Linked DNA regions of Callithrix jacchus. The protein of the gene in region 3 interacts with the protein of the main gene of each other region in a pairwise test. Links are inferred from orthologs where the notes say so. Each region holds a gene or a part of one and is shown on either strand. Other genes may lie near its edges. The genes, in order: TLE1, PTPRK and TK1.

Region 1 (3,747 bases), on a different chromosome or scaffold from region 3:
AAACAGCGATTTCAACATGGCATTGCTTCCCTGAACCCACACTCCAGGACTGAGACATCGATTGAGCCAATGTTTCAGCTCAGTCTGTTGAAAAATAAATAAATGAAGTGCAAATATTGACGATTCTCATGCAACTTCTAGAGAAACCAAAAAGGACTCCTTGGATCAGCAGCAAACCAGCAAAAGGGAAACAATGGGAGGAGGAGGAGACAAGAGAAGAGGCGGCCCGGGAAGAGCCACGAAAAGGGGTAACTTGAATGACAGGTCTTAACAGCGACTCCAAACGCCACCACCTGGACGCGAGAACTAAGTACAGGCGCCGCCGCTTACCCAGCTGGGCGACGAGGGGCACGGGGCCGCCCGAGACCACTCGCCTGGCGTTGCCGGACACGCACCTGTGATACTGTGCCTGCAGGAACTGGAATTCCTCTTTAATCCGGTCCAGGGACTCCGGGATAGTGAACTTGAAGGGCTGGCCTGCAGCCTGGTGCGGCGTCTGGGGGCGACCAGCGAGGGGGACCGAGGGACGGGAATGAGGGCGGATGAATAAAGCAGTAAGTTAGAAAAGAAAGGAACGGGTCGGACATAAAAAATAAAGTTGTAAGTGGCTGAAAACGAGGTCCCAAACTCGAGTTTGTGCTTCACTTTGGGAAAGGGGAAAGTGGACCCTCCCCGGCCCCCGCTTCTAAAAATGCTCGAAAGCCCTTCCCAGCGTCCCCGGCGGATCGCTCTAAGTGCTCCCGGGTCACGAGGCCAAGAGGGAAGGGGGCTTCCCGGCGGCCGGGGAAGACCAGGCCAGATTGTCGGTGTCGCCGCCCCTTCCCCCACGGGGGCGATAATGACCCCGGGGACTGGAGGAGAAAAACAACTCCTTTACGCTCCCCATTCCCAGAGTCACCGGGGCCACCTCCAGACGCACCGGAACGGGGGCCGCATTGACGTGTAAATAGCCGAGAGGAGAAACAATGGGAGGGGGCGCCTGGCCGCCCTCGGGAAAGGTGGGGAGGGATACGGCTGCTCGAGAGAAACCCTAGCCTTCTCCAGCAACCCTGTCCGCCCAGTATAGACGCCAAGTAGGAAAGAACCCAAAGGGAGGGAGAAAATCCAGAGTTTCTGCCCACTCCCCAACCCAGGAGGAGGGTGTCCCGAACCTTCCTAGTCTTACACCGCTGAGGGCCAGAGGGTCCTCCAGGCCGCAGAAGCCACCCGTCTCCCTACCGCCCCGGAGAAGTGTCTCCCCAACGCTCCTGCCCGCCGCACCCCCCCACCCAGCCGCGCCTCACCGGGTGCCGGCTCTGCGGGAACATCGCTCTGGCGGCGGCCGGGGCTCTGTTCCCGGGCAACTCAATTCTCCGGTCAATTTCCAACTTTAATCCCGCCGAGGAAAATCAAGCCGGGAAGCCGGGCAGAAGCGGGGAGCGCGGGGGGCGCGCTGGCCACGCACGCAGGCGCGCTCGGCCGGGCGCACCGGCCACTCAGCGCCCGCAGCTGCTCCCGCTCCCGTCGGTGCGGGCTCCCGCCCTCAGGGCCACATCACCGGCCGCCCCAGGCCCAGCTGCTCCAAGAACCTGCGCGACGACGCCAGGCGCCCGGAGACTGTGCGCTGGAGCTGCGCTCCAACCCCCCAGCCTCAGCCGCCGGGGCGGTGAGGCGGGGGCGCGGTGGCTCCGACCGCACTCCCCTTGGCGATCCGCGTGCGCGGCGTCAGTCCTGGGCAAACAAATCCAGGCGGGCTGCTTTTCTTTGCTCTTCTCCTGATCCGCCTCCTTTCCGGGTTTTCCCCGCGGCGGTGGCGGCGGGCGAGGTGCAGGTGGCGCGGCGGCCCCGGCTAACCCCACACAAACCCGACGCTTTCTGGGCGACTCCCCCAAGACCCGACTGCGCCTTCGGCCGGGCGCTCGCGGGCTCCCGGGACACGGCGGAGAGAGAGGTTGAGGACGCGGCGGAGGATCCCGGCCGGGGAACGAAGGATGACGAGGCGGGGAAAGTGCGGAGGGCGCGCCGGGAGGCGGCTCGGCACGCCCCGTGCGACCAGCACTCGGTGTTCTCCGCGGTTGCACAAACCCTCCTGGCCCGACGGGGCTACTCCACAGAAAGCAGTCCCGCAGCTGCCAGCTGCTCCTCCAGCCCGAGGCGCATCAGGGCGCCGCGCCTTGCGCGCACTCGCCCCGCACGGCCGGCACGGCCGCTCCGGACCTTTATTCCGAGTCCCTTCTTCTTCGGTCTTCTTTCTTTTCTTCCTTCCCTTGGTGTGCCTCTCCTCAAAGGGCGCTGCAGCCCGCGGCAAAGTTCTCTCACCACCCAAAAGACCACATCCTCGAGATGGTGGTGAAAACTGCAGTTGTGCACTCCGCCGCTCGGCCTCCCTCCCCCGCGGGCAAACTCCGCGGGCGAGTCCGGAATAGTCACCGCGGCGGGGCCGGCGGGGGTTTTGGTCACTGCAGAACGACGGAGGTCCGGGTTGGTGGCGCGGGTCCCGCCCGGCCGTGCGAGGGTGGGGGTGGCGCAGTCGGCTGCCTCCCGGACGCAGGGCACTGAGTACCCGCCGCTGCTGCTGCTGCTCTTGCAGCCGCCGATCGCACAGCCGACGCCGCCGCCCGCGCCTCTCGCGCCGGTTACATTAACACGCGGTTTCACACTCCGGAGCTAACCAGCGCCGGCCCCGCCCAGCCCCACGCGGGCGGGGGCGCGAGCGCGGAGCCGGCGGGGGACGTGGGCCCGGGAGATTGGGAAGGGGCAGGAGGCCCGTATCAGCCAATCGTGTGCTCTGCACCCAACGTGGGGCGCTGACGCGCGCCTCCCCGGAGCCTATGGCAGCGCAGCGCCGGACTGGTAGTTCTCCCTCCCCCGTTCTCTCGCTTCTATCTCCGCCGTCTCGTCAGTCTCCCCTCCCACCCCGGCCCCTCCTCCGCCAGCCGCGTCCTCCCGGGCTTGGCGAGGAACTGTTCCTGGAGGAGCCGCGGGACGCCAAAACCAGCCAATGGGAAGCGGCAGTTCGCGTAGATTGGCACTGAAGATGGGAAGGTCGGTGGGAAGGAGAGCGGCGGGGCTGGGCTGTCAATCAAAGTAACGTGGGGCTGGCTAGGGAGAGCGCGGGAGCGCGCTAATGGGAGGGACTGGCTAGCGTGCCGCCGAGGAAGCTGGGGGCTCGAGTTTGCAAAAATCCTGCCACTTGCTCACTTTTCCCTTTAATGAAAATCCTCAAATCTGAGTGAAAGTAACTCAAAGACTAGCTGCGTAGTTATTTATTGGAGGCGGAGGGGCGTTTTTGGTAATTCGAGAAAATGAGTTTTTCGGTGCTGGACCCCTGTTTGATGCTACTCAAAGTGAGGCCACATTCAAAAATTTATTTGAGGTTTGTTTTTCCTTAAGGTGCCTTTTTACGAATGTAGGAGAGGGAGTGGACTGTGCACTTAGTAGGAAATGCGTAAATGAGCAACCCCACGGTTGGCGTACGTACACCAGCCGCAAAGACGACTATGATGTCCTCCCACTCCATCACCCCCTTTACACTCAAAGTGGTAGGATTTGATTTTATTGCAGGATTTCACGCCACTCTTCAAAAAGATAATCCTGCCCCTTTTGGCGGGAAAGATTCCCAGGGTGCTGCCAGAACAAGGCACGCGTGTCCGCAAAGGAGACGCTTTGCCCCGGGGCGCGAAATCCCAGGTCTTAGTCTTAAAAGTCCTGACTTCGCTGTGTTGGGAGAGGAGGGGAGCGGCTGAGGTTTTTAGGAGCCTCTGAGCT
Region 2 (3,647 bases), on a different chromosome or scaffold from region 3:
ACAAAAAGCCTTTCTTTCCATATTGTTCTGTCTATGGGCTACAACACTCTGCAGTTTAAGACTAGAATGGGGCAAGATCGTTCTTTCATTATGATGGATGTTTAACATAATACTATCCATCCCTTCTCTAGTTACTTATAATAGTATTTCTTGTTTAATAACCAACAAGTTAATTGTAAACTATGAAAACAAATGTCGGAAATAAAAATTTCCCAAATTAACACAATTTTTGTAGAATTTGGCATTCTGTAATTTAAAAAATTTATTTCTAATTATATTCAAATAGGTAAGGCATGATTTTCTTTTCTGAAAATAATTAAGATGAAATTTATAACATGTAATATTTACTCTATGAATATAATAACTGACAATCTCTAAATCTATAATAAAGCTATAAAAATGATAGTTCTGAAAAATTCCTATAGGGAAAATCTAAAATCATTCTCCAAAAAATATATTTCAATAAAAGTTTCCATTTTTCTTTTCAGGTTATTTCAATATTCTTGAAAAGAAAACTAGCTAGTGTTCAGTTGCATTACATAGCTTTTCACAGCACTCTACACTAACAAAGAGGGCAGTCTCTTACATCCATAAGAGCAGCATTGATGTAGTTACTGCTCTCCCCATCAATTGTAATTAAAAAAGGCAGACATCTGTCAGGTGGCAGCATGTCCATGAAACGGTTCTTGTCATGGTTCCTTGGCAGGCATGCTATACTGCAGTCTTCAGCTTGTAGTCGAGGGGTGACTGAATTCAGAGTCTAAAACGAAAAGGGAACCCAGGTTAAATGACAGTGACCCATTTAACAGTATAACACAGATCCATCAGATATTTATTAGACCAAGTGGAAGTGAAGGATTTGTGCAAGGCAATGGCATTTGCTACTCTGACAAGCTGATAGACTTTGGGTTAAAGCTAATGACGCCTGAGAAGTGAGAAAGTGAAACAAGACACACATTGCTCCTCTTCTTAAAAGGAAAAGGGAAGCTAAACAGCATTGCTACATGTAAAATGCATTGCCTTGACCAAAGAAAATACAATCAGGAAGTCCATGATGATAATGACCCTTTATCACAGTGGGAAACGGTATCATGTGTAATAACTTCTGGGCTTACCATATTTGAAGATAAGCTATGGCATGTTGGAAAGAGCACTGGGCCAACAATCAAACAATTTGGTCTTTCCTATTTATTTTTTCAGTCACCTTCAGAGATGTTTTAAGGGCAGTAAAAACATTTAGGGCTATTTTGAAATAGTATTTACTACCAACTTCATTTATTATTATTTTTTGAGACAGAATCTTGCTCTACTCCCCAGGTTGGAGTGCAGTGGCGGTATCTTGGGCTCACCACAGTGTCTCTGCCTTCCAAGGTCAAGCAATCTTCCCATCTCAACCTCCTGAACAGCTGGGACCACAGGCTTGTGCCACCATGCCTGCCTATTTCTTTGTATTTTTTTTGTAGATGAGGTTTTGCCATGTTGGTCAGGCTGGTCTCGAACTGCTGACCTCAAGATCTGCCTGACTTGGCTTCCCAAAGTGCTAGTATTATAGGTGAGAACCACCACTGCGCCCAGACTTGGTTATTGTAATTAATGTGCTTGAACTACTCGCATTGTGAGTGACACAGGTCAAAATCTGTATGACTGTATGAAAAAAAGTCTATAAATACACAGAAATCACCACTAATTTTGACTTTTATGATACCTTTCCCTCTTGCTCTTCCCTCAGTCTGAACTTATTTTAGATATAGTAGATATGAATTCATTAATAGAAAAGTGACTATATAATATGTATAATGAAAGAGACATGTATTATATTTAAAACAGAATCAAAGGTTATACATTTGACTTGAGACCTTCCTTAAAAGGACTGATAGTATCCAGAACAAAATGAATTAAGTCATAACAGAGGTTTGAGAAATAGTTAATACCTGAAATTCATCCTTGAGATGTGAAGAGTTAGTCTGAGAGTCTATTCTAATCATATCAAAATATGCAGCTTTAAATTCACAGACAGGTATGGCAGTTTCTCCACATAAGCAGGCTTCTAAAATGGCATCATGAATAAAAATGTATTGTTCCTACCAAAAGAATGACAAAGAAAATTTTGTATTATTTTTGGTACCACTTTTCTGTCATCAAAGGTAGAGAATACAGAAAATTTTCTCTATATGAAAATATGAATTGAAGTACCAATATTTTTCTATATGACTGAGCTAATATTGATTACATATGAAAAAAAATCTACTCTTTTGGTTGAGTAGAGTATATATGAAAGACATCTACCCTTGCTTGTTTTTTTAAAAAAAAAAAAGTCCACTACAGGTAAATCTACATACCTCTGTCTGGACCATATTGATACGACGAGACCTTAAGGCTTTGACACAATTGTAGATATCAACAACGCCCTCTCTTTCAGCCATGTCCAGCATGATGTCAATCACAATGTAACAGCCAGTTCTTCCAGCACCAGCACTGAAAATAATTAAAACAATTGTAAGAAGCATGTTAGTTAGCCTTCATAACCTTAAATAAGGAGCACTTCTGAAGCAACCAATTCATAAGGAAGTAAACCTCTCTGATAAATCAAGAAATCCCTAAACTGAAAACATATTTATCTCATTTTCTACTAACTCATATCTGTAGTTAGATAGGCTAATAACATTATTTCCTTGTTATCCAGATTTGGTCACTTCTCTTAAACTCACTGTTCTTTTAGAAATTTAAGCAAAAGATATTATGGCTGTCTCTCTTTATTTTTGTCCTCTACCATCTTCTCAATCATAGTTCCCAGAGTTGGAAACAGGGATGTAATTGAAGAGTACATCAGAGTTCATGAGGAGGATTGAAAGGAAGATTTTTTTGTTTGGTTTTCAGGGTACATATTATCTGATCCTATGGGATGTTTTACCTTTATTTCATTCTCTGCTTCCCCCTCCCCTTTTATATATGGTTATCTAAATCATGAATAGATTGGATTTTCAGAAAGCAAAAAATGCTTAATTACAACCTATTATGTAGCTTGGAGGGAAGAGCATTTGAGAATGGTGTGCAGCATCATTTAGGAAAAGCTTTTCAGATTCAGTACTTATTTTTCTGGTCACACCTCAAAATGAGCCCATGTAATTTGCTTTTAGAATCTCTAAATGCCTGTTTTAAGAGAAATTTCTAATCAGAAGTAAGTCTGGATATAATGTTTGTGTTTTTTTGGCATATATTTGCTGAATCTCACTGATGCAGTTCTCAAGGTCCTCTAATGTGAAGTCTTAAAAAAAAAATTAAATTGCTGTTTTATAGCACAAATTCTTGCAATTTAGGCCATTTAGTAACTCTGTGTGTCTCAAATTTAGTTTTAAAAGCTGGAATTCTACTGGGAATTTTCTAGATTGACAAGAAATGTCTATTTCAACCTAGCATTCTATACAATATGGGATTTGCAAAAGTGATAAAAACAGAAAACAAAAAAACACAGATGTTGCCACTAAAAGCAGAGTTTCTACATTTTAAATTGTGGGTAACACTACACACATTAAGATGAATGTAAGTATTTCTTAAGTTCCTGTTTTATAGCCTACTTACAGCCAACTTTTACTTTATTGCTGTTCTGCTTCATCTGTAATACAAGCAAGCTGAAACTTTGTAAGCAA
Region 3 (3,647 bases):
CGGGGCAAAGAGCTTCCTGGCAGCCGCAGCCTCCCCTGGCTTTCCTGGCACGGGGCAGTTCTCTTTGTTGTCCAGCCCGGCAGGCTGGCCTGAGGCCTTCTTGAAGTAGCAGAGGCGACACACAGAGTGATACTTGTCTGCTCCTCCAATCACTTCGACCTAGCCGCAGGGACAGGGGATGGGTGAAGGGCCGGGACAGGAAGGAGACAGAGCCACGCCCCCACCCCACCAGCCCGCAGGGAAGACAGGTGGAGGTACCTCCTTTTCGGTGCCAAGCCTCTTGGTGTAGGCGGCTTCCCGGAAGCACTCCATGCATACTGCGGTCAGCTTCACCACGCTCTCGGCCAGCGGCACCAGGTTCAGGATGGTCCCAAATGCCTGCACTCCCATGGAAAGACAGTGGGTGCTCGGCTACCTTCCCAGGCGGGGTTTTCTTTTAAACCCTTTGATTCATAAGCACTGAAGCCAGGAAAGTTTGCTCTGACCTCAGTCCTCCCCCAACCCCCAGAGCACCATGCCTGGCTTTGTCTCCTTGCCAATTCAAACCACCTGCCGCAACAGATGGCACCTGGTCTGCATAGACCAGGGAGTCCCTAGGCTCAGGCAAGGACTGGTCTGAGCAGCTCAACTGTGCCCCTACAGTGGCTGGGCCCTGGCCACCCAGAAGCCCCCTCCCCTCCTGGAATCACGCTCCAGACCTGGATCAGACACCTTACCTTCCTCTGGAAGGTCCCGTCCAGTGCAGCCACAATTACTGTCTTCCCGGCGTTGGCCATGGCCTCACAGAACTCCACGATGTCAGGGAACTGGAAAGGGAAGGTGGAGAAAGCGTGAGAGTTTCCACCCTAGCAGCAGCTCCCTGAAGTCCCAGCAGAGACGCTGCCAGATCAGACAACTCCCGCCATTCAGCCTGGAGCAACTCTAACTCTTCCATGAGGTTCCTCAGGCTGGGGACTGTCCATGGGTGCCCTCCCAGCAGATGACAGGCACATCCACAACTGCCCAGCCTCTTCCCTCTGCAGCCAGCTTCTGCTCCGAGTCCAGGTACCCAGGACTCAGCATCAGACTTCCACACCTGCTGTGCTGTTTAACACTGCAGCGGCCAAAGGCTGGGGCCAGACATCTGCTGCCTGGGGCTCGGACACCGCTATTCCGAGCGGACACCATTATCTGTGTGACCTTGGCAGTGAGTTAACTTCTCTGAACCTGTTTCCTCTTCACTGAGCGATAGCAAGAAAGGTCCTATTGTGTAAGGACAGAAGGCACTAAGTTATACACATGCACTTCAGTGAGTAGCTGGGCATTTTGTGCTCTTGCCCCCTCGCCTTTTTAGACAGGTAATGTGCCTTGAGAAGGTGTGGGGGTCCTCCTGGCCATTTACAGAGCAGGATGACACAGCACAGCCTTCTAAATACAGGGCCGGCACAGAGCACATTTACTGCCTACATCAAATTTCACTTTGGCCCAGGGAGAAGCTGAAACTCTAGCAAGTGCTTTGGTGATTCTCATCAATCAGTCATATTGCTTTTAGCTGGTTGAGTTCACATGTCCAGACTGGCCTTTGGGTTGGCTGAAGTGGGGATGTTCCTGTCCTTGGGCACAGGTCTCTCTCCAGGAGCCCCTCAGGCTTTCCTCAGCCCAGGTACTGAGGTTTGAGGTTATTAAGACATTAGGGCTTAGCAAGGCGAGGACTAGGGGATAACTGGAAAAATTCCAGTGGGATCCAGGTGAAGCCTGATGTAACCGACTGCGCTCAGCAGACTGCAGGGGCCTCTAGAAAGAAAACCCAGAGACTCCAGCACGCTGGGCCCTGCCCCACCATGCACGTGTTCTCTCTTTTTCTCTGAGGATTCATCACATGTCACAAAAAGGCAGCTCCCAGTCTTGCTCCCCATTGCCCAGGCTGGAGGGCAGTGGCTCAACCATGACTCACAGCCTGGACCTACAGGCTCAGCCGATGCTCCCACCTCAGCCTCCCAACTAGCTGGGACTACAGGTATGTGCCACTACTCCTGGCTAATTTTTGTATTTTTGGTAGAGGCAGGGTTTCACCATATTGCCCAGGCTGGTCTCAAACTCCTAGTCTCAAGCAATTTGCGTGCCTCGGCCTCCCAGAGTGCTGGCATAACAGGCATGAGCCACTGTGCCAGACTCTTAAGTTTTTCCAGATTAAACTTACGAAGTCTCTAATCCAAAAGGCTCCAAAACCTGAAACTTTTTGAGTGCATACCACAAGTGGAAAATTTCACACCTGACCTTATGGGACAGCTCACAGTCAAAACCCTGGCTCATGCCCAAATTACCAGATAGCATATAAAATCACTCCCAGGCTATGTGGATAAGGCATCTATAAACATATCGGATCTTGTATTTACAGTTGGGACTCATTCCCAAGGTCTCATTATATTATATATATGCAAATATTCCAAAATCTGAAAAAATCAGAAATCCAAACACTTCTGGTCCCAGGCATTTACGATAAGGAACATTCAACCTGTATTACTTGTGTTAGTAGAACAGAAAACACAAAAAACCGTTTTTTGGTTTTTTTTGTTTGTTTGTTTTTGAGACAGAGTCACTCTGTCACCCAGGCTGGAGTGCAGTGGCATGATCTTGGCTCACCACAACCTCTGCCTCCCGGGTTCAAGTGATGATTTTGCCTCAGCCTCCAAAGTAGCTGGAATAATAGGTGTGTGCCACCACATCCGGCTAATTTTTGTATTTTCAGTAGAGACGGGATTTTACTATGTTGGCCTGGCCGGTCTCAAACTCCTGACCTCAAGTGATCCGCCCGCCTTGGCCTTCGAAAACGCTAGGATTATAGGTGTGAGCCACTGTGCCCAGCCAGAAAAAAAAGTTTAAAAAAATCAGAGCTTCCACTATTGCCAAGCAACCCTGCAGGCCCGCCAGACACTGTACAGCTGTTGATGAACGCATCGGGGAGGTGCTGGGGCCAGGGTGCTCACCCACCACCAGCATCTGAAGCACAGCACGCCCAGCTAGTGGCTTTGGGGTCTCCACATGACTCTCTCTTGCATGCCAACAATTTCTACAAAGCAGTGTGAGCGCCACTGTGCCTCACCCGGCATACAAAGAAGCACAGAAGCTTCTGACCTAGGGCCTTCCTCAGGATGGCATGGTGGCTACTCTATGAAAGGCTTTCCCTGCTGACCCAGAAAACAGGAACAAGGCAGGTCAGGCTGGGCTTCTTCCACTGTCCACGTAGACAATGAAGGAGGGAAGGACAGTCCTTCTGTGGGTCCCCATACTAGGAACCCCTCTCCTCCATCTAGAAATGCTTGCAGTGGGAAGATGCTAAACTTCTAGAAAGGAACAAGGGCACACAGAATGGCACAAGGCTGATGTCTGGATATGGGGTGTAATAAGCACTCCCTGAATGAACTAAAGTTTTACTTGTGGGCCAGGGAGGAAGTAGACTGAGAAATCTCTCCTTCAGGCTGGAACGGGACAGGACTTAATATGCTGGCTCCTGGATGTTACGGAAGGAGGAAGGAGAAGGGAAAGGTTTCTGCCTGGGGGGGGTCTGGGTCAGCATCTGTCAACAAGGTTTATGCAGAGCCAGAGCAGAGCTCTTGAGCAACTCACAGTGGCAGGTCTGAAGGCAGGGAGAGCCTCGCCAAAGCTAA

What was found.
Region 1: the proteins of TK1 (region 3) and TLE1 interact in a two-hybrid assay, tested with the Homo sapiens proteins (2 studies listed by BioGRID and IntAct). The link is inferred for Callithrix jacchus from reciprocal best matches to the Homo sapiens genes TK1 and TLE1.
Region 2: the proteins of TK1 (region 3) and PTPRK interact in a two-hybrid assay, tested with the Homo sapiens proteins (2 studies listed by BioGRID and IntAct). The link is inferred for Callithrix jacchus from reciprocal best matches to the Homo sapiens genes TK1 and PTPRK.

What each region holds. Positions count from the first base shown.
Region 1 is NC_133502.1:101,338,569-101,342,315, reverse strand, and holds the start of TLE1 (transducin-like enhancer protein 1), read right to left. Parts: upstream 2,620-3,747; 5' UTR 1,308-2,619; coding exon 1,284-1,307; intron 497-1,283; coding exon 396-496; intron 189-395; exon of another isoform or gene 1-188. Other genes in the region: uncharacterized protein LOC103792545, read left to right, coding at 2,811-2,832, 2,883-3,024. UniProt on the Homo sapiens protein: Transcriptional corepressor that binds to a number of transcription factors. Inhibits NF-kappa-B-regulated gene expression. Inhibits the transcriptional activation mediated by FOXA2, and by CTNNB1 and TCF family members in Wnt signaling.
Region 2 is NC_133505.1:134,537,186-134,540,832, forward strand, and holds part of PTPRK (receptor-type tyrosine-protein phosphatase kappa), read right to left. Parts: intron 2,476-3,647; coding exon 2,340-2,475; intron 2,082-2,339; coding exon 1,932-2,081; intron 761-1,931; coding exon 587-760; intron 1-586. UniProt on the Homo sapiens protein: Regulation of processes involving cell contact and adhesion such as growth control, tumor invasion, and metastasis. Negative regulator of EGFR signaling pathway. Forms complexes with beta-catenin and gamma-catenin/plakoglobin.
Region 3 is NC_133506.1:133,959,083-133,962,729, forward strand, and holds part of TK1 (thymidine kinase, cytosolic), read right to left. Parts: intron 807-3,647; coding exon 717-806; intron 379-716; coding exon 259-378; intron 160-258; coding exon 1-159. UniProt on the Homo sapiens protein: Cell-cycle-regulated enzyme of importance in nucleotide metabolism. Catalyzes the first enzymatic step in the salvage pathway converting thymidine into thymidine monophosphate.